Linked DNA regions of Lonchura striata. The protein of the gene in region 3 interacts with the protein of the main gene of each other region in a biochemical or structural test. Links are inferred from orthologs where the notes say so. Each region holds a gene or a part of one and is shown on either strand. Other genes may lie near its edges.

Region 1 (6,913 bases), on a different chromosome or scaffold from region 3:
TTTTTATGGATTTTTATTTTTATGGATCTTTATTTTTATGGATCTCTCCTAAAGCTGGGGAAGTTCTGCCTCACACGTGGAATTATCACAATCCTCCACTTCAAAAAGCCATTTCAGATTTCAGGACAACAATTCCCAAGTATTTTTATTGGGTTGATTTCAAAAACCTCAGAGAAATTCCAATGTATTTTGAGTTTATTTCAATAACCTCAGAGAAACGTTTCAGCATCAGCTGAACTCGTCCGTGGGCAAGAGCTTTGTGAATTTGATTTTGCATTTTATTTCTTAACTGGCCTGAAAGTCCCAAGAGGCTGCTCACAAATAAAAGCAAAGCAGGTAGACAATTTGAAGGCTATTTTTAAAATAAATTCATTTATCAAATGCATTTTTAAGCAGAGGAGTGAGCACCACCCTCCCTGCTGATTTTCAGTCATAATTTCAATATTCTCACTCTCTCCCCTGCCACTTTTCTGTGGTGTCATTCATTCAGAAAGGAACTGAGGGGAGATATTATCGAGGCAATTGCAAATTTAACTCCTTGAGCTCCATCTCTACCTGCTACATCGATATTTTAAACCAGTTTTATCTTTTAAATTGAAACCCTTTTGTTTTTAAAATATTTTAAAGGCCAGCTTCTTGTGCATAGAATTAATTTAAGGTTGAACTGGTCTTAACTGGGATATTCATTTTTGTTTAGCTGAACTAAGAGGGGGAAAAAGGGGGAAGAAAAGGGTGGAAAAAAGGGGGGAGAAAAAAAGGGGAAATAAAAGGGGGGAAATAAAAAGGGGGAAATAAAAGGGGGGAAAAAAAAGCAGGGAAAAAGGTGGGGGGGGAAAAGGGGGGGAAAAAAGGGGGGGGAAAAGGGGGAAAAAAGCGGGGGGAAAGGGGGAAAAAAGGGGGAAAAAAGGGGGAAAAAAGGGGGAAAAAAGGGGGAAAAGGGAGAAAAAAAGCGGGGAAAAAGTGGGGGAAAAAGGGGGGGAAGAGGGGGGGAAAGGGGGGAAAAAAGGGGGGAAAAGGGGAAAAAGGGGAAAAAGGGGAAAAAAGGGGGAAAAGGGGAAAAAAGGGGGAAAAAAGGGGGAAAAAAGGAGGAAAAAAGGGGAAAAAGGGAGAAAAAGGGGAAAAAAGGGGGGGAAAAAGGGGGAAAGAAGGGGGAAAAAAGGAGGAAAAAAGGGGGAAAAAAGGGGAAAAGCCCCTCTAAGCCTACCTGGTAGAGTTTTATGATGTGTGGGTGGTCGAGCATCTTCATTATCTGCACCTCCCTGTAGATCTTCTCCAGGTTCACAGCATCCAGCTGAGATTTGTCGATGATTTTTATTGCCACCTGCAGAGCAAGAGGGAAAAATGAGGTTTAAAAACTCCCCCAAGGTGAGCTGACCCTCATTGAAAAGGGAATAATGCAGCCCCGGGTACCTGGAGGCTGCAAATCCCTGAGTGGAAAATAGAGCAGGGCAGCACTGAAAGTGGCTGGGGTCCCTCGGAGGGGCTGCAGGGCTCCCACCCACACCAGCATGTGAGGAAAAGCAGGTTTTCCATGAGCAAAAGTAGGTTTTCTATGAGTATAAGTTGTTTTTCTATGAGAAAAAGCAGGTTTTCCATGAGAAAAATCAGGTTTTCTATGAGAAAAAGCAGGTTTCTCATGAGTAAAAGTAGGTTTTCCATGAGTAAAAATAGGTTTTCCATGAGTAAAAGTAGTTTTTCTATGAGAAAAAGCAGGTTTTCCATGAGAAAAATTAGGTTTTCTATGAGAAAAAGCAGGTTTTCCGTGAGTAAAAGTACGTTTTCAATGAGTAAAAGCAGGTTTTTCATGAGTAAAAGCAAGTTTTCCATGAGTAAAAGTAGGATCTCCATGACTAAACAGGTTTTCCATGAGTAAAAGTAGGTTTTCTATGAGAAAAAGCAGGTTTTCCATGAGTTAAAAGTAGGTTTTCTATGAGTAAAAGCAGGTTTTCCTTGAGTAAAAGCAGGTTTTTCGTGAGTAAAAGTAGGTTTTCAATGAGAAAAAGCAGATTTTCCTTGAGTAAAAGCAGGTTTTTCGTGAGTAAAAGTAGGTTTTCTAGGAGTAAAAGTTGTTTTTCTATGAGAAAAAGCAGGTTTTCCATAGAATGGAAGGCACAGGACAGGTGAGGGAGGTCAGTGCTCCAGGTGTTCTTCAATCAGGAATTTGCAGTGAGCAACATCTCCCCAAAAATCTCCGTGGTGCCCATTTCAGGAGTCAAGGTGACAAATCAGAGTCCCACAAAAGGATATTTTATATGAAAAACTTAAAATTCTTGTGTTGGCTCCACACAAACAGTCCAAACCTAGGGGCTCCAGGCACTTGCAGCTGTGGCATATTTAATTAATTCGTATGTTATTATGAAAGGGTATCTGCAGTTCATCCCTTCAGAGATAAAAACTCTGCAGATGAATTTACCAGTCAAACCTTGCAAACACATCTCAATTAATTCACAAAACACATCCTGGCCCTGCTGACCTTGTTTTTTAGCCAATAAATGAAAAGGGAAGATCACTCGAGATGCTGAGGGGAACTAAAAAGCTCCAACAGAAGACATTTAAAATTGAAACCAAGAAGAAAGTGAAAATACAACCCCTGCAAAGGGTAAAAATGTTAAAGAGTGTTGAATATACAAATGGTGCTTGCTCACCCTGAATGTCACTTTATTAATGCTGAAGCAGGAGCAAACAGTGCAAGTCCCACTAATAATTCCAATTATAGCAGAATTATTATATACAAACCATATATACAAACTATTGAACATGGGAGAGCTGCTGCACAGGAAATCCATGGGAGGTGAACCTCATTATCTGCTCCAACACTGATTATGGGCCCTCCTGAGTTCACAATTAACTATTTATTGACTTCAGCTCACTCTGGTTTTCCCTCTTTAAAAGTCCCCAGTCTTTCCCCAACTCCCAGGAAAATGCACAACTTCCAGTGTGCATGAAATATGTCCATAAAATATATATATATATATACCACAGGAGAGCAGCAGCTCCTCCACTCAAATGCAGATTTAATACCTCAGCTCGCTCTGCATCTTCATCTTGCCAGGAGCAGGGAAGATTTTACAGAAGAACCACTTGAAAATACTTAAAATCCAGCAAAATCTTCCCAAGGATGTGAGCAGGAACAGGGAATTCAGCAGCTCCTTTTTGTCCATGAGCTCAGCTGTCTCTTGATGACAGGAAAAGGGATGTAATTCTTAGAGGTGGAGAAGCTCCTTCAAGCCACGGAGCAGTTTCCTATCTGAAAAGTGTGTTTTGTTCCTAAACATGCAGCTTGCCAAAAACTACTGGCAACAGCTCGAAATAAACAACAAAAAAACCCCAAATTTCAATATATAATGTCAGCACATCTTTCACCTGAGAAGGAAAGCCAAAAAATCCCTGATCTCTGCCTGTCACCAGATTTTGCTGCTTAAGGAGTTACATTCCAAGATATTTTTGCAGCTTTTGTGGTTTTTAAAATACAAAAACCATTTTAAAATACAAGGAACTGCACTTATTTCCTTCCCTCTTCCACTGGAGGCCCAGGGAATTGGAGTTTGCTCAATCCTGCCCTGACATCTGGGAATTGCAACTGCCAAGGAGGGAGGATGAAATGCTTGTCAAGAAAAGATGAAAGTTCTGCTGCTGCTGCTCCTCAGCTACTCCAAATGTCAGTTTTCATTGTTTTTGTTTCGTTCCTTTAATTCTTGAAAGGGAAAACAAAGGCAAAAAAGCAAAAAAAACCAAAACCACAACACAACCTCCCGCTACAAGTTCACATTCAAACAGAGCTTTGTCCCTGCAGGTTACAGAAATTCGGATTTGTTAACCCAGTGCATTCTTAAAATAGATAAAATGCATTAAAACTAACAACCACAACTTCCTGCAGTCTGGAAAAACTCCGTGTTTTGTTGCGCAGCGCAGGGAGCTGCTGACTCTGCTGGAGTTACTCACTTTGCAAATACCTGAGCTCACCCGAACTGCTGCCACAGATCAAATCAGGGGCTGCAGGGTCATTTTTCTTTTTTCTTTTTTTTTTTTTTTTTTTTTTTTTTTTTTTTCTCAAAGAAAAATAGAAATTCGCTGTAACAGCAGCCAGGTGGAAGCACATCTGGGAGGCACAGGGAGAGCCAGGTTTTGTTTTCCCCTAGGGAGCAGCGAGCAGAGTTCCTCTGCAGGGGATTAATCCTTAGGGGGGGTTAATTAAGGCTTTTAGGGGTGTGTTCCCAAATTCCTGCTTTTTCCAAGCAGCACCTTCACCTACTCCAAACCTTTCCCCTATTCCCTACATTCCAAACCTTTCCCTTATTCCACTCCCATCCCATTTCAGTGGAAGCAAATCTCCATCTCCTCCAACTTTGACGCCACCAATTATTCCCCTTCCCTCCTCTCCGTCCTCCCCAGGAAAATCTCGGCTCATTTCCACGCCTCATTAGCAGGAGCTGCCCTGGGATCACAGGATTTCTGGGCAGCAGCATCAAGAAAGGAGCGTGGCAGCAAAAAAGCCACGTGCCCTCCACTCAAATGGCACCAAAAACCCCAAAAAAGACAAGCAAAGGTCGGGTTCAGCCCCCCTGGGTGGACTGGCAGTAAAAAGGGTCAGGCAGCACCTCTATTCCTGCATATCCTTATTTAATTTATTTATTCCTGACATCTTTATCACCTGATAAATTTATTAATCCCCCCATTTTTCCCAACTTTCACGCTTCTGTGCGGTTGTTCAGAACTTGCATGAATTCAAATTTTGATTTCTGATTTCGTTTGCACACACCCTGTGCTGCTCTCCTGCTTCGTGTTTTCATTTCATTCCCACCTCTGCTAACAATTTATGGCAACAATTTTATCTCCTCACCTGCAGTCTTTCCATAAAAAGGATGGATTTTACACAATCCATAAGTGCTGCATTCAAGGTAATTAGAGCCCATCTTTTTTAATTGGATGGTTATTGGCTAGAGTTGCATTAAAAAATAAAAAGGCAAATATTTCAAAGGTCAAAATCATATCAAACACAATTTCAAAATGCCAGCGCTGGAAAAGCCCAACAACAAACAGGTTCTGAATGTAAAGGGTTGAAATCAGGAGATTCAGGAGAAACTTTGACAAGGAGTCCTTTTAAAACAGGTTTTTTGAGCAAGTCTCAGCAGCATCACAGCATCCTCCTGTAGCACAGACCTGAGGGTGCACCAGAACCTAAAAACTGAATATTCTTCCACTGGAACTTAAGCAACAGTTTAGAAGAAGTTTGAAATATGAAAACCCTTCAGTCTGGAGTCATTAACAAGCAGGATTTCCACTCTGTGTGCTCAGGGGTCCAACAATCAGGTGAGCTGCTCCAAGCTGGAAGTGCTTATTCCAAAGAGTATTTGGCTGGAATTTATTTCCTCTGACATCACCAGAAGTGATCTTAACAGGGTTCCCCTTCCTCAAAGATTGTGTAAATACTTCCAGCAACCAACTCAGCAATTCAGTTCCAGAAAAACACTCCTGCATCTCTCCCTGCAGAAGTCAGAGCTGACTCAAAAAATCAAAGACCTTGACAAAAAGTCCTCCAACACGGGCAAATTTGCTGTAAAAATCCCCCAGAAGATAAAAAGGCTGCAGGCTGGACAGAAAAGCTGGTTAAAAAATATTTGAAGACTAAGAGAATTCAGCAGTTCCTTAGGACACAGATGAAAGAAGCATCCAGGAATCGGGGAGCTTTTAAGCTCTGTGCTTTCTGCAACCTTTGTTATTTCGAACAATGCTAAACAAACAGGCTTTCTAAAAGGACAATAAAAACCAAGATTAAAGTTTTCATCTCCACCACAAAGCCTGCCAAAAAGAAATGAGGGCTGCAGAGCAATGACAAGCGAGTATCTTCAAGTGGAGCATTTGCAATTCTGGCCCATGGCACCAAACTTGGGAAGGGGAAGGCTGGCGCTGCTTGGCTCTTCAGCAGGAGCGAGGAAGGGCTCAGGAAGAACCGAGTTTAGGATGAACTTGAGAAATGAGGCAAAAGGAGAAGTTTCTGCCAGTCCCTGCCACGCAGAGCTCAGCCCTGTTAGCACCCGGGGTTTGCTGTCCTCAGCTGGGCTGCAGCTTTCAGGGCATGCTGCCATTCCTGAAGGGATGATTTTAGGATTTTAGGATTTTCCCCTCCGAGCCCACGGTGGTGAATACCTGCAGGCCTTGGGACAGCGTTTGAGTGACTTTGGCCAGGGACAGAGCAGCCAGGAACCTCTTCTTCAGTCAACAATGAAAGCCACCAGAAGAGAGCCTTACAAAAAGCTCACCTCTAGGTGTAGCAACTAAAACTACCTAAAACAAGGCAGAAGAGGAAGCTGATCCTTCAGAGCCATTACTCTCATCAAATACCTCCTTTTTCTTTTTTCTTTTTTTTTTTTTTTTAAAGTGAACACGACTACATTTTTACCCAGGCAGACCGACAATCATTTTTGTTTTAGGTAAAGCGCCAGGTATTAATAATAATCACCGGGTAATACACGGGGGCGGTTGAACAAAAGAGGCTAAAAATGGTTGGATTTGGTGAACTTGGAGGATGCCGTGAAGAATTCAGCACACACACACACACACACACACACTGCTGAAACAGATAACCCAGCATTGCCCAGGTCAGGAAACCCGAAAATACCCGGGGCACGGCGGCAGGCACAGCACAAGGTTTGACCCTTCCCAGGGAGCAGAAAGTGCTGCTGGAGCAGCACCGGAGCATCCTCGCGGTGCCATCCCGGCAGCGATGCCACCACCCCGGGGCTGATGCCACCACCCTGGGGGTGACATCCTGGGGGTGTCATCTTTCGGGTGGCATCCTTAGCGGGGGCGGGAGGGGGAGGTCGGGGGGTGTGACATCCCGCGGGTGACATCCTCGGGCATCCCCCCGCGGCCCCGGGGGCGTTCCGCCCTTCCCGGGAGGATGCGAGCGGGG
Region 2 (7,185 bases), on a different chromosome or scaffold from region 3:
TGTTGGAGGTTCAGCCCTTCACCTTTCCCGCAGGGACAGACCCGCGGCTCTGCGGCAGCCCGAGCCCTCTGCGCTCGCCCCGGCGTTACCCAGCCTGACCCCCGCGCCACTTTCTGCGAAGTGTAAATGTTTCATAAACCGGGAAGCTGAGCGGCACAAAACCCCCCAGGCTGGCAAGTCAACACATGTTGACACCACTGCCCGCGCTGGCGTGCCCCGGCACTGGCACAGGGGGGACCAGATCTCAGCAGAGCGGGCGAGCGCTGCCTGTCCCCACTGCTTCTCTCTACACGCAGATCCCCCAACTCAAAGGGTAGCAACTGTGAGCTACTTGGTTGATGCCAGCCAGGGAAACTGGTGGTGTTTATGCTCGCAGGAAACACCGACGGCCCCAGCTCATCCGGGCTGTTCCCAGCCAGCACTCACTGGAAGGAACCTTCTGGCACGGTAACCAGATTCGGGGAAGCTGCCAACAGCTATCCCTCTTAGAATGCTACTCCACAAGCTGGTTTTGGGGTACCTGATGGAAACTTTGCACCAACGCATGTGACACTCAGCCAGAAACCGAAACCCTTTGGCGAGATCCTGGCTGCCCGGTGCAGCATGCCACAGCACGGCCTCGGCACTCACCTGTGCTGCTCGAGGGTCTCGTTGTCCGGCAGCTCTGCCCCACACACGCTGCACTGCTCACCCAGGGCTCTGCTCTCCGTCTTCATGCCGGCTGCCAGCTCCCCCAGCTTGCTGAACAGCTCCCGCTGGATGAAGCCCTGGGGCAGCAGCCCGCCATAGGCGCTGAAGTCCATGGAGACAGCCAGGGCCGGCTGCACATGCAGGGCGGACGCCGCAGTGGGCGGCACGCCGAGCACCGGCTCAGTCTTGTGGTTCGGCAGAAGGGAGTAGATGCCCAAGGGCTTCTCTCCCGGGGCAGCGGCAGACGGCTCCGGCCCCAGTGGCAGCCCCTGGCCAGGCTCAGGGGGTGGCTCGGCACCCTCCTCACGGGTGTAGTGCAGTTCACGGGCACTGGTGATGACACTGCTGCGGGTCGGGGTGCCAGGTCCTTCCTTGCCCTTCTCGTCAGCCTTTTCCCCACTGGAGGCACCGGGCTCGGCTGTCCGGGGGCTGTCATGGCTGGAGGCCTCATCCACCTGCATTGCTTCAGTTTTGACTTCGGCGAGGCCAGAGGGACGGCGGGTGGTGGCAGAGCGTGAGTCCTCGGGGGCATTGGGTGGCAGGGCTCCCTGCAGCAGTGACTGCCCGATGGTCATCAAGCTGTCCACCGCCGCCTTGGTGGGGCTCATGGAAGAGAGGGAGCAGTAGGATGCGGAGGCAGAGGGGCTCTGCTCCACTGTGGCTGCCAGCAGATTCTGGCTGGCCATGCCAGCATAGCCACCCTCCTCACCAGTGGGCTTGGAGATGAAGAGGCCCTTGATGTACCTTGACTTCTTCTCCTCCTCCTCCTCAGTGGTGGCGGTGGCACCTCCATCAGCCATAGCGACCTCGGTGTCATTGTCCTCGGAGGCCTGTATAGTCTCCAGGATCTTCAGGCACTGCTCCTCCAGGTACTCAATTTCCAGGATCTCGGCAGCATAGAGCAGGTCATCCAGGTCCTCAACCTTGGCTTGTAGGGTGGCAGTGTACGCGTACTCCAGGATCTGCTGGAACGTCTTTGGCGAGAGGAAGTCCAGGGTGTAGTGCTGGCTGTTGCGGTGGAAGAGGATCTCGAACATCTTGCTGGTGCAGGCCAGCACGGTCCGGTGCGCGTGGAACTCCTGGCTGTCCACCATGATGACCACGTCGCACAGCGTCCCCGCCAGGCGCATCTGGTTGGCTTTGTGCAGCAGCCCGGTGGGGTGGCAGGGGTTCTGCAGCTGTATCAGCCCCATCTTAGTCAGATCCATGGCGCGCCCCAGGCTCACACATCAGGGTGTCTCGCCGTCGCTCAAATCTGGGACCAGCTTTGTGTGCCGACTATCTGCAGAAAACAAAAGGCGGAGGGGGAGAGGAGCAGAGGGGAGCGGGAAAGGGGGAGCGGGGAGGGAAGAGACGAAGGAGAGAGAAAAGGGGAAGAAAGAGAAAAAAGATGGGGGAGAGAGGAAAGCCGGGGAGAGAAAGGAGAGGAGAAGGGAGCAGGGAGTAGAAGGGAGCGGGGAGAAGGGAGCGGGGAGAAGAGGGAAGTTAGCCCGCAGCCTAGCAGCGACTCGCCCAAAAGTTTCCGCGCTGCTCGGCGGATCCGCAGCTGCCGGAGCCGCGTTCCCGCTACCGCCGGCCGGGGAAGGCGAGGGAAGGAAGGGAGAGGAAGGTGCGCATCCCCCGCCGCCGCCCGGCTCCAGCTCCGGCCGCCCCGTCCCGCCGGCAGCGCGGCCCCATCAGGTGCGCGGCGAAGCGGCGGAGCCGCGGGCACACGGCGGTCCCGGGGCGGGGGACGCGGGGGGCCCCGGTGCCGCCCCCCGCCCGCACTCACGGCGGCCGGCGGCTGCTCCGGCAGTTCGCACTGCCCGCTCTCATCGCCGCCGCCGCCGCTCGCCGCGCCGCGCAGCAAATCACGGCGGCGCCGGCCCCCGGGCCGCCCCGCGCCCGCGTCAGGCCGCCCCCACCCACCCACCGACCGGCGGCCGCCCCCGCCCGCCGCGCTGAGTGCGGGCGCCCCCGCCCGGGCCCGCCCCGCGCGCCCCGCACCTTGCGGGCGGCGGCGGCGGCTGGACAGCGCTGCCGACAACAAACATGGAGGAGCCGGAGGCGGCGGCGAGCCCGGCACCCGGAAGCCCGGCGGCACCGGGAGCGGCCCCGCGGAGCGGCCCCGGGCCGCGGCGCGGCTGCCCCGGGCCCGCCGCGAGCGGGGCTGCGCGCCCCGACGGGCGGCGCCCCCGCCAGACAAAGCCGCCCCCGCGCCGGGCGGACCCGGCCCCGGGCTGGAGACGGTGAAAACCAACCTCGGAGCCCGGTTTGGGGTCCGGATTCCGACCGGGAGCTGCGGTGCTCGTGACATGATGTGACACCGAGCACGTTGTCGCCTCGACGAAGCCGGTTTGTCCTCCTTTCCCCCCTGCCCCCCCGGTAAAATACTGACGCCGTGACGGCGCCACTTGTGTGTAGGGATGTGGCGGGTGCCCGCACCCCAGGACGGGCCGTGGGGCTCTGTCCCCTTCGGGAAGGGAGCGAAACGCGCGGTGAGACGCCAGCCACACCGTGACACCGACAGCAGCACCAGGCGGCGGCAGGAGCAGCGGGCCACGCGCGGAGGGAGCACTGCGTGCCCCGAGCATCCGAGGAGTGCCTCAGCTCCTTGGCGTGCCCGCGCCCGGCGCACCCTGTGCAATCCTCGGGAGGGGCAGGGTGGCAGCCGCACGGCTCTGCCTTCTTCCCTCCCTCTCTGCTGCGCCCGTGGACCGACACAGCCAGCGCAGGGCCGGTGTCTTCAGCTAAAACAACAAACACGGACGGCATTAGTACAAAGATACCCTTGGGGTAAAGCAGCGCAAATGTAATCTAAGGAGAACGTTATGGGGAAGTGTGTTTATAATTATAATGGGATTTAATGTACTTTGGGACCAGATGATAGCAGTCATTTAACGAGAACAGCCTAATAACGGAGGCCTCACGATGCACGGCGGCGCTGCGCGGGTTATTAGACGCGTGTGATAACGCCGTGCTCGCCGTACTATAGTTAAGGGTAAGGCATCAGCTTACTCCTATTTTTTCGGGGGTTATAACTCTGCTGCTGTAATTGGCAGAGAGCAGGGATGTGCCGCACAGGCAGCCAGCGTGCCTGCTGGATGGGGGTTTTTAATTGTCTCAAACTGCTTGAGTTCCTCCCTCTTCCAGACTTTAAAATCCAAACAGCTGAGAGGAGGAAATGGTGAGACACTGTGGTTTCAGGTGTTTGTTTACCCTTCTCTAACTTTTAAAAGGCTTGATTTCAGGACTGAAATTTTGCAGGCAGTTACGGGTATGTTTTTAGTATAGCTCACATGAAATTAAGCTGCATGAGTCCCATTAGCAATAATGGAAATCCCACGGCTAAATTCCCAGGCAGCATCCTGAAAATTAACCCCCAGTCCTTCCTGTCAACTGGTGCATTGCACTTTTTCTTGCTTCTCTAATACATATAGTAAAAGCTACTGAATTGTTTAAGACACCAACTTGCCACAGCTGCTGTTTGCTGAAGACCAGCTTGGTGACCCTGAGCAGGGACACCCAACATGCCCTGGCACTGGGGCTGCCCAGCACCTGCAGGCCACAGGTGAGGCCCACAGAGATGCTTGGAAAGCTACAGCCATGGCCTTCAGGGTCATTTCCCCATGTGCTGGCATGGGAGTCAATCCCTCGTCACTCCTCCTCAGTACCTTCCATTTCCCTCCCATCTCTCCCCATCAGTTTCCAATTTATTTACTTTTCTGATCTTAATCCCCACCTTGTAGTGTAACGTGTTTATTAGAAAGGCACCAGCAGCTAAATGAAGCCAAGCTGGGCTCCGTGTTAAGTAGCAGTCACGCCCAAGTGCCTCTCCATGTGCCATTACTCCGAGTGATTGAGGCAATTTCTTCCTCCGCCACGAGTTTCACTTGTAAATCTCTCAACCAGATACGGTGCAATGATGTGCTGCCTGGTGTGATTATTATTAACCTCCAGCATTAAACCTGAGTCGGTGGTTCCTCAGGAAGGGCCTTCTGTGTGAGAACCAGGTGAAGCATGGACATCCTTCCCAGGAAAATCTGGGATCTATTCAGATCCCTCAGACCTATCAGTTACTTGGACAGGGAGACACGAATGTTTGCTTCTCCCGGGGAAATACCCTGGCCAGCAGCACCAGGTCTGTGGGGAGACAAGGACTGGGCAATGTGCAGCCCGTATTTTGAGGGATAGTGGCAAGGGCAGCCTTGGGATGCTTCTCCAAGAGGCAGCTAGTGTGTGGAGAGGAGAGTAAAACTGAGCAGTCTCCACAATTACAGTAAGAAAGGAAATTCCTTGTTCAGGATGCTTAGTCCACAAAAAACATTCTGGGAGACAACTTCAGCCAGAAGGTGCCCCAGCATCACCCACCCTGTATGAATGGAAAGGGAAGAGGAGCAGCTCCTCTCCATCATGCCCAAAACAACAGCTTCTCCCACTCTGTGCAAACGCCCTTTCCCATCACACACACTCCTCCAGTGCTGTTAGACACATAATCTCCCATTCCACCCCAGACAGGCACGCAAGGACACGGCTCTGACTTCCCCAGCTTGCTAGGCCCTGACTTCAGCTGTGCCCACCCCAGCTCTGCCCCTGGACTGAGCTGCCCCCTGTTCTCCCTGCTCCTGCCGAGAACCTTCAGGGTGGGGGACAGGCACATTCCCATGTTTTCCTAGGACTAGTTGTGTTTTGCTTTTGATGTATTTGGAGTTTTCTAGTATACTGAGTTTTCCAGCGCTGATGGTGCAGAGCTGAATTATGAAACACTGGAGTAAAGATGCTGTACAAAATAAGATCTGTTTCAAAATAACTTCCAAAAACTGATTTTTGATCTCACCCCAGACCCTGAGAAAAGTTCACAGCTCCTGAGCTGTGTGTGTGCACGCTCCCAGGAGCAGGATTCTCCAGGCACTTTTGCTTTGCTGGGAGCCGGGACAGAGCGCGCTGCTCTGCTTTGGTGCGCGGCAAGCTGACAGCTTATGAAAAGATGATTAAATGTGTTAGACTTCATTTAAAAAAAAGCCTAAACACACAAAGCTGTTTGCAAGGGGGAGGGCGGAAGCCCCAGGAAAGCTGCTCAGCGTGCAGCCATGGTGCATTAAGCTTCCTCTGAACCCCAGTGATGAGCACCAGGCTCTGTCCGAGCGCAGACACCGGAGCCGTGCGCGTTGTGGCAGCCCAGGAGCGGAGGGGCTGGGAACAGACCCCTCATTGTGCCCATGTGTGCTGCACAAGGGCAACCTGAGAGTCACGCAAGGACGCAACTGATCGGGGTGGTGGGATACGGGTTATCCACCTTGCAGTTGGTCCCAAGGTAAGTTATTTTTGGAGCTCGGCGGTAGCCAGCCCGAGGGAGCTGCGCAGGGCTGCTTGCTGCTGTGGGAAAGGAGACCCGCACAACCTGGTAGTTCGGACAGAGCTGAGCAGACACGTGTCACACTGCAGAAACACTGCCAGCCTCCCGGCCCTGCTGGATGTGGGATGCTGCCCGGCCACGCTCGAGCACGTGGCAGCAGTGACGAGGACCATGGTGTCACCGGCTGCTGCACCCCGCGCCCCAGAACCCTCCCTGCTCAGAAGAACTGCTCCAGGTTACAGCTGCACTCGCATTTAGGCATCACGGAATCCATGCCATCCCACGGAAGGAGTGGATCAGGATCCCTCGGGGAGTGTTGAGAGGTGGGCTGTGACGCACAGAACACAACTGCCAGGAGATACAGCTCATGGGTTTCCAGGAGCTTTGTCCCTCCGTCCCCCCCCTCCCTGTGCTAGGTTATGGATGCTGCAGCCCTAAGACAATGAGGCTAATTAGTGGCTTAGGGCCCTGAGCCTGCCGGGGCTGGAGGATGAGCTGAGCGGTGACTCAGGAGGGCGGCAGCCCGGGCCAGCCTTCCCGCATTCCTCCCCTAAATCCCCCACACAAAGGGGAATTTAGCCACAGTGACTCAGCGAAGGAGCACAAACTTTACAGCCGGGCTTCGAGTGGCGTGTTTATGTATTCCCCCCCAGCAACACGCTGCTGGGCTTGTAATTAAATAAAAATGTCTCCCTCTAGCAGGCTGTGACCCAACCATCAGTACAGGACCTATTTTTAGTGTTACCCTTGGTACGTATTCAAGAGAGCTTGAGCCAGAGGTAGCAACTTATGAAGCCATAATAAGTGGGAGGGAGTTAGCCTTGTTTAATTTACTGTGTAATTATTTTTCCTCTTTTTCTCTTCTCTTAACCTGACATACTTGATTGCCTTGCACGGGACAAGGAAAGAAATGTGCCGAGGCATTAAATGTCAGCCCCAAATTCATGGTGCTGTGGAGGCTGCATGTGTGTTCGGTAAAGTTCATCCCAAAAAAAAGTCATTTAAATAGAGCAGAATCTACACCAGGACCTCAGCAAAGCACTTCTGGGGGCTTGTTCTGCCTCCCAAAACAGGGGATGCTCTAGTGAGGGATTGTGTTCCAGTTTCATCCTGCTTTTCCTGTCTTACTTTGGTTTTGACTCTCCTCAGGAAGGATACAG
Region 3 (7,319 bases):
TTGGCTCTCCCGGGGGGGATTTGGGGGTACTCCTGCAGCCCCCCGAGCGTGCCAGCCCCAGCCGGGGGTCTCCGGGGGGTGTTGGGGTGCAGTGGGGGGCGGCAGCACCCAGCCCTGGAGGGGGCAGCGCTTGGGGGGCTCAAAAACCCCCCCGGAGGTGCCAACCCGGCACTTTGGGTGCCACAGCCCACCCTGTGGGACCCCCACCCTGCGGGATTCCCACCCTGCGGGGACCACCCGGGACGGGGATGTTTAACCCCTCGCTGCCCAGGACCCCCAAACAGAGAGGTGCCCGTGGGCACAACAGGGGTAACCCCACGGAATGGGGGCACGGGAGAGGCCGGGGGTCTGCAGTGGGGGGGGGGGGGGGGGGGGAGCACCCCCAGGGCTGGAGCAGCTCCCCTTGCACACCTGTCCTTGCACACCTGTCCTTGCACACCTGAATCCACTCGCATCCAGCCGCTCCCCCTGCACACTCATGGGGGATGTCACCGGGTTTGGGGTGCTGTCACCGGGTTTTGGGGTGGTCTCACTGTTTTGGGGGGCACGGGGGGCCGCCCCCCACTCACCTGGGGCGGGCAGGGGGACACGGGGCAGCAGCTCCAGCGGGGGCTCACGGCCAGACCCCCCCTCTGCAGAGAGACACCCGTGACCCCCTGAATAGGCTGGGAGCGGGGGGCCACGCGCGCCCCCAGACCCAACCTCAGCTCCCCAAATCCCTCCTCGGCGGCTGGGGGGGGTCAAGGAGCATCCCTGGGTTTTGGGGTGACGGGAGCAAACGCAGCCCCCCCGCTCCAGGCAGGGCAGGGCAGAGGGACCCCCCCACCCAGGGGCCCCCCCACCCACGCCCCCCCCCAGGCTATTCTCTCCGGCGCCTGGAAATAGCCGCGCACGGGAGGAGCCGGCTAAAAATAGGGAATTGTGCCGGGAGGGGGGCAAACAGATCCCGGAGGGGATGCGCTGTGTCCCCCCCAGACCCAGCTGCACCCCCAAACTGCCCCGGGGCCGGGGGGCACGGGCTGCCCTGGCTGAGGAGGCTGCGGGGGGCTAGGGTCCCCACGCCCCCCCCCCAGCTCCGTCCCACCCCCCGCATCCCCCTAATTGCCGGGGACGCTAATCCGCCTCAGCGCTGCCGAGCCAGACCTGCGATGTCCGGAGTGGGGGGGGGATTAGCCCCATTTTTGGGAACGTGAGGGCAGGAGACCCCCCCACCCCACTGCAGACCCCCCGAGCCCCCCCAGGAGGGGCTGGGGGCGCAGCCGCCAGCTCAGCACATTTCCCGTGGGATCCGTGTCCCCACGTGGCCCTGCAGGGACACGGGGGGGGTGACACCGTGCCGAGCGTGGAATCCCCCCTTTTTGGGGACGGGGGCATCCCCCCGGTTACGGGGAGCCCCCCCGCCACCCCGGCCGTGCGTAACCCCCCCCCCGGGGCAGCGCCACGTTTATTTACCAGGCGTTAATCCCGAGCCAAGACTTTTAATAGCCGGGATATTTCTGGGACACCCCGTGCCCCCCCCGGGGTGCTCTGGGGCTTGACGTCAGCCCGGCTATTTCTGGTGCTGCCAGCGGGCAGGAGGCCGCGGGAACGGGCCCGCCCGGCTCCGGACCCCTCAATGCTGCCCGGACCCCCTCAATGCTGCCCGGACCCCCAGTCCGACCCCCAGACTCCTTCCCGGCCCCCAGGGCAGGGCAGGGGCTGCCCGGGCCCGCGGAGCCCCTCCGGAGCTGGTGGCACTCCTGGGGGACAGCGGGACCCGCAGGGATGTTGGGGGACCAGTGGGGACCCCCAGGAATTCCGGGAGGGAAGGAGGGGAGCGAGGGATGGGAGCGGCACCCACGGGACCCCCGGCTCTGGGATGGGGCCGGGAAAAGGAGCCCTGGGGGTCCCAGAGCCCCCGGGGGCTGACCGGGGACCCCCGGGGGCTGATTTGGGATCCCCCAGTGGGTGATTTGGGGTCCCCCAGTGGGTGATTTGGGACCCCCGGGGGCTGGTTTGGGACCCCCGGGGGCTGATTTGGGACCCCCGGGGACACGGGCCGCCTCCGCCACATCCCCGACAGCCCCAGCCCGGCCGAGACCTCCCACCTCAGCACCCCCGAGGGGGTCCCCCAAGGCCCGCAGGCAGCCCCGGAGCCGGGAGGGGACCCCAAGGAGCGCCCCGGGGTTGGCGGAGGCGGCCCGGCCGTGTCCCGGTGCCACCGCGCCGCGTGCCAGCCCCGTGCCAGGCACGGCCGGGCGGCGCTCCAGCCCCGCGGCCGCTCCAAAAATACCGCCTGGGGGGGCTGGGGACAGAGGGGACACACGCCCCCCGCCCCGGCGAGCCCCCGCAGCGGGGCACGGGGCGCTGCCGCCGCCCGGGCCTCAGTTTCCCCGCAGAGGCGCGGTGCCGGTGCTGCCGCGTGGCCCCTCGGGGCGGGGGGGGGACACGCGAGCGCGTCCAGATGTCGCCGGAGTTCCCACCGGGATAATTACAGGGCGGCTCCGCCGGGGAGCCAGCGGGAGCCGGGACAGCGCGGGAACGGCCCCGGGGGTCACCGCGGCTGTCCCCACGCGTGGCACGGCGGGGACCCGCCCCCGGCGGCATAAAGAGCCACGCGTGAGCCGGGCCACGGCGGGGCCGGGAGCCGTGCCTCAGTTTCCCCTCCCAGCGGGAGGATGCCGGGGTCTGGGAGCACCGGGGTGGGGGGGCGGCGGCACGGGCTGGGATAACCGGGGTGGGGGGCGGCTGGCACGGCCCCGGGGCCCCCCGGTGCTCCCCGGCTGGCGCGGATGCGCCCCGCCGCTGCGACCCCCGGTACCCAACCTGGGGGTCCCGCGGGGGCTGCAGGGCCGGGGGACGCGCCGGGGACACGGCGCAGTCCGGCCGAGCCCCTCGGGCCGCAGTCCCCGGCTCTCACCTGCGTCGCTCGGGGGGTCCATGGTGGCCCGGGGGGGCTCGCAGAGGCGCGGGTCCGTCAGCGCCGGCCGGGGCACCGGGGCTGTGCCCGCGCCGCCAGGGAGCCCTGCGGGACCAAGCGCGGGTCAGCACCGCGGGACCCCCGGAACCTCCCCCGCTGCAAACGGGGGGGCGAGCCCGCACCGAGCCCCCCCGAGCACCCATGCGGGGCAGGATGGGGGGGCTGGGGCACCCCCAAAGGGACCTGGGGGTCGGCAGCGCCACACCCCCAGGCTCCGCAGGGAAAGGGAGGGCCCGCAGGGGGACCCCCGGCCGTGCCACCCCCAGGGACACGGGTGGGACCCCCATAAGGAGGGGGGACACAGGCTGACCCCCCGAGAAGGGGTCCCCGCAGAGAGAGGGGTCTGGGGGCGCCACCCACGAGGGCCCCGCGGCGGGACGGTCCCCGCGGGGGGGGGGGACACGCCGCTCGCGGTGCCGGCAGCGCCGAGCCCGGCGCGGTGCGGCGGGGCCCCCCCGGCCCCCCCGGCCGCGCTGCGGAGCCGCCGCCGTGCTGGCACGCGGACCCCCGACACTGCGGGAACCCCGGACCCGCGGGGACCCCCCCCGGGCACGGTGCACAGCCCACCGCACCGGGACCCCGACCCGCACCGACCCCCCCGCACCGCGCCGGGACCCCCGAAGGTGCCGGGCTGCCCCGGACCGCAGGGCCCCCCCATTGCACGGGCGCTGCCCCCCGAGCCGCACCGGGACCCCCGGACTGCACAGGACCCCCACCCGCAGCGGGGGTGCAGCCCCGCACCGGATCGCGCCGGGACCGCCGCTGCAGCCCCCCCAAAGCACACGGGGACCCCCGGGCCGCCCCGGACCCGCACAGGGCTCCCCCCGCTGCACCCCCCGAAAACCCGCACCGGGCCCCCCCGCTCCGCACGGCGCACGGCCCCTCACCGCGCGCCCCCCCAAGCGCACCGCGACCCCGCACCGGACCGCACCGGACCCCGGGATCGCAGCCCCCCCCCACCGCCGCGCGGAGCCCCCCCGGAGGCGCGCGGGGGTCCCGGACAGCGCGGGTCCCGGCGGGCCGCGGAGCCGCGGTGCCGGTGCCCCCGGCCCGCCGCCGCCGTACCTGGGGTCCCCCCGGTGCCGCCCGGCGCGCGCCCCGCCGCCCCCCCGCCGCCGCCTCCATCTTCGCCGCGCGGCCCCGCCCGCCCCGACAACAACATTCGGTGACGTCACTCCGCGTCACGTGACGGCGCCCGCCGCTAAAAATAGCCCCGCGCGCGGGCCCCCCCCCAACCCGGTAAAGGGGCGTGGCCGAGCCGGGGGGGCGGGGCCTAACGGGGCCTTAAAGGGGCCGCGCAGCGAGTGAGGGCCAGGCGGTGTCAGTGGGGAATGGTGTGTGACCGACACAGGGGTGTGAGTGTGTAAGAGCACACAGGCGTGCGAGTGCAGGACACACGCACAGACACACGCGTGTGCCCCTGCCGGCCGCGGCACCTGCTCGTGCCTTGCCCACGCGCGTGGGTGTAGCAGGCCCAGGTTGGGGGGGTCACTCAGCCTGTGCGGGGATGAATCACGCCGGGCCGAGGCCGCGCTGAGTCACCGGCGGCGCCGCGGGGCCCGGCCGGTGACGCGGGGGCACACGCGTGTGCACATGTGACACGCGCGGGGAACGGGGGTGCGTGGCCCTTTAAGGGGCGCGCCCGCCGCCAGGGGGCGCCCGGCGCCGCGGGGGAAGCTCCGCCCCTTCCCCGGGGCCGCGGGTTCGAGCCCCGGCCCCGCCGCTTCCGCCTCCGGGGCCGGGCCGGGGGTCGCGGCGCTGCCATGGTAACGGGCCCGGCGCGGATTTGGGGTGCCCTGGGGGGATTTGGGGTCCGCCGAGGCAGCCCTGCGGGCCCCGGCCCGTGCGGGGTGCCCCCGGCGCGGTGTGAGGCCCCGCCGCCGCCCGGTGCTCCCGCACGAACCACGGAGACCCCCGGGCCCCCAGCTCGCGTGTCCCTCCCAGCCCCATTCTTCCCTTTTTCCCACAGTCCTGCCACTTCCAGAGGCTCTTTGGGACCGACGGGGAGCTGGAGGACGAGGTGAGGGCCCCCCGACATCCTGGGGCTGCCCCGGGGCGCCCGGGCCCGAGGCATCCCCGCTGCTCCTTTCCCCGCAGGATTTCCTCTCCGCTGTGCAAGATGCAGAGAACCAGTTTGTGATCCCCGGACATTCCTCGCCCAGCGCCGTGCCGGTTCTTCCCAGTGAACCCCAAACCAGAAAACCCCATCCCAGTGAACCCCATCCCAGTGAACCCCAACCCAGCGGACCCCAAACCAGAAAACCCCATCCCAGTGAACCCCAACCCAGCGGACCCCAAACCAGAAAACCCCATCCCAGTGAACCCCATCCCAGTGAACCCCATCCCAGTGAACCCCAACCCAGCGGACCCCAAACCAGAAAACCCCATCCCAGTGAACCCCAACCCAGCGGACCCCAACCCAGTGAACCCCAAACCAGAAAACCCCATCCCAGTGAACCCCATCCCAGTGAACCCCAAATCAGGGAACCCCAAACAAGCGGACCCCAACCCAGCAGACCCCAACCCAGCGGACCCCAAACCAGCGAACCCCAACCCAGCGGACCCCAACCCAGCGGACCCCAACCCAGCAGACCCCCCAGCCTGCGGCCCCTCGCCCAGCAGCCCGTGGGCCTGCGGGTTCCCCCGTGGCGGGGAGCAGCGCCCCAGGACGAGCAGGACAATGCCCTTTTCCTGGCTGCCTGCAGGGAGCTCGAGGGGCCCGGCGCTGCCCCGCTGCCCCCCGGGCGCCGCGAGAAGCCGCCCTGGAAGGGCGCAGGGAAGGAGAACGCTCAGGAATGTGGGGTCCCCAAAAAGCTCAGGCTGGCACAGGAGCTGGTCCCCGGCTCCGGGGGGCTGCAGGAGGGGCAGGGCCCCCTCCCCAGTCCCAGACCGGTGCTGCGGCCCAGCGCGGCCGGCGCCCCCAGACCCCCCCCTTCCCTGGGAGAGCCAAGAGGGTCCGCAGGCTCCGTCCCTGCTCCGGGGGCTCCGTGCCTGAGGCCTGGCCAAGCGCCCCCGGGAAGGAGCAGCTCCTCGGTGCCCTGGACCCCCCCAGCACAGAGCTGCCCCCAGCCCCGGCTGCCCCCCAGACCCCCCTCGGGCCCCCCCAGCTCCGTGGAGTCCCCCGGCTTCCCGAACCCCCCCGTGGCCCCCAACGCCCCCGGCCCCCCGAGCGTCCCCGTGGTCACCAACCACCTGGTGCAGCTGGTGGCAGCGGCCAGCAAAGCCCCCCCGGGAGCCCCCCGAGCCCCCGGCCGCAGGGAGAGCCGGCGCTTCCCGGGGCCCGCCGGGATCCTGCCCCAGCAGGTGGGCTGGGATGGGGAGGGGAGGCTGGACAGGGGTGAGAGAGGGCCTGGGTGGGGATGGGGACAGCATGGGAAAGGATGGGATGGGGATGGGGATGGGGATGAGGTCAGGAGTGCAATGGGTGTGGGCAGAACGGGAATGGGAGTGGGCTATGGGATGGGATGGGATGGGATGGGATGGGATGGGATGGGATGGGATGGGATGGGATGGGATGGGATGGGATGGGATGGGATGGGATGGGATGGGATGGGATGGGAGCAGCTGGTGCAGCCAGGCAGATCCCTGGACGTCTCTCCCTCTCCCACAAGCACTCTGGGAAGCTGCTGGAGGAGATCCTGGTGGCTGCTCCCCAGGCTCCGGCTCACGGGGCCGTGGCGAAGCCACGGGCTCAGGTAACCCCCCACACGGGCTCAGGTAACCCCCCCATCCCAGCCCTGCCCCGGCAGATCCCGGGGGATCGGCCCCGGTGCTCCTGACCCTGCGTGTCCCTGCCCCAGGCGCTGCCCAGCTCCCCGCTGCCCACGGAGGAGGATTTCGGGAAGGGGCCCTGGCTGGCCATGAAGACGGAGCTGGGGCTGGATGAGAGGGACCCCAGCTGCTTCCTCCACAGCTACAGCGTGGTCATGGTGCTCCGCAAGGTGAGGATTCAGCCCCAGCTCTTCCCTCAGCCCCCGGAGCTGCTTGTGGGGCTGGGGGTCTCTGGGGAAGGGGCTGAGCTGAGCACAGACATCCACATCCCCCGGGTGATGAGGGTGTAAGATCCAGCAACATCCCACGGGAAGGATCCTGGGGTTCAACTGCCCAAGGTTATCCCAAAATCCCCGTTGTGCTGTGCAGGCAGCCCTGAAGCAGCTCCCGAAAAACAAAGTTCCCAGCATGGCCGTGATGATCAAGTCCCTGACCAGGAGCAGCGCTGGTGCCGGTGCCGTGTTCCGGGACCCCACAGGTGAGTGGGGGTTACCTGTGCCCGGGGGTCCCCGTGCCCGGGGGTTACCTGTGTACCTGTGCCCGGGGTCCCTGTGCCCAGGGGGGCTCAGGGATGCCACCCCTCGTTCCC

Evidence for each region. The genes of interacting proteins can lie anywhere in the genome.
Region 1: of the proteins of HDAC5 (region 3) and SIK2, one has a biochemical effect on the other in vitro, tested with the Homo sapiens proteins (2 studies listed by BioGRID). The link is inferred for Lonchura striata from reciprocal best matches to the Homo sapiens genes HDAC5 and SIK2.
Region 2: the proteins of HDAC5 (region 3) and ZBTB16 form a complex in vitro, tested with the Homo sapiens proteins (2 studies listed by BioGRID). The link is inferred for Lonchura striata from reciprocal best matches to the Homo sapiens genes HDAC5 and ZBTB16.

Annotation. Positions count from the first base shown.
Region 1 is NC_134625.1:9,393,741-9,400,653, reverse strand, and holds the start of SIK2 (serine/threonine-protein kinase SIK2), read right to left. Parts: upstream 3,011-6,913; 5' UTR 1,849-3,010; coding exon 1,411-1,848; intron 1,322-1,410; coding exon 1,205-1,321; intron 1-1,204. UniProt on the Homo sapiens protein: Serine/threonine-protein kinase that plays a role in many biological processes such as fatty acid oxidation, autophagy, immune response or glucose metabolism.
Region 2 is NC_134625.1:10,775,831-10,783,015, reverse strand, and holds the start of ZBTB16 (zinc finger and BTB domain-containing protein 16), read right to left. Parts: upstream 3,011-7,185; 5' UTR 2,931-3,010; intron 2,575-2,930; exon of another isoform or gene 2,462-2,574; intron 1,973-2,461; exon of another isoform or gene 1,969-1,972; 5' UTR 1,899-1,968; coding exon 631-1,898; intron 1-630. UniProt on the Homo sapiens protein: Acts as a transcriptional repressor. Transcriptional repression may be mediated through recruitment of histone deacetylases to target promoters. May play a role in myeloid maturation and in the development and/or maintenance of other differentiated tissues.
Region 3 is NC_134627.1:8,659,417-8,666,735, forward strand, and holds the start of HDAC5 (histone deacetylase 5), read right to left. Parts: upstream 3,001-7,319; 5' UTR 2,922-3,000; coding exon 2,900-2,921; intron 633-2,899; coding exon 570-632; intron 1-569. Other genes in the region: HROB (homologous recombination OB-fold protein), read left to right, coding at 4,723-4,725, 4,929-4,979, 5,057-6,262, 6,571-6,654, 6,760-6,900, 7,100-7,208. UniProt on the Homo sapiens protein: Responsible for the deacetylation of lysine residues on the N-terminal part of the core histones (H2A, H2B, H3 and H4).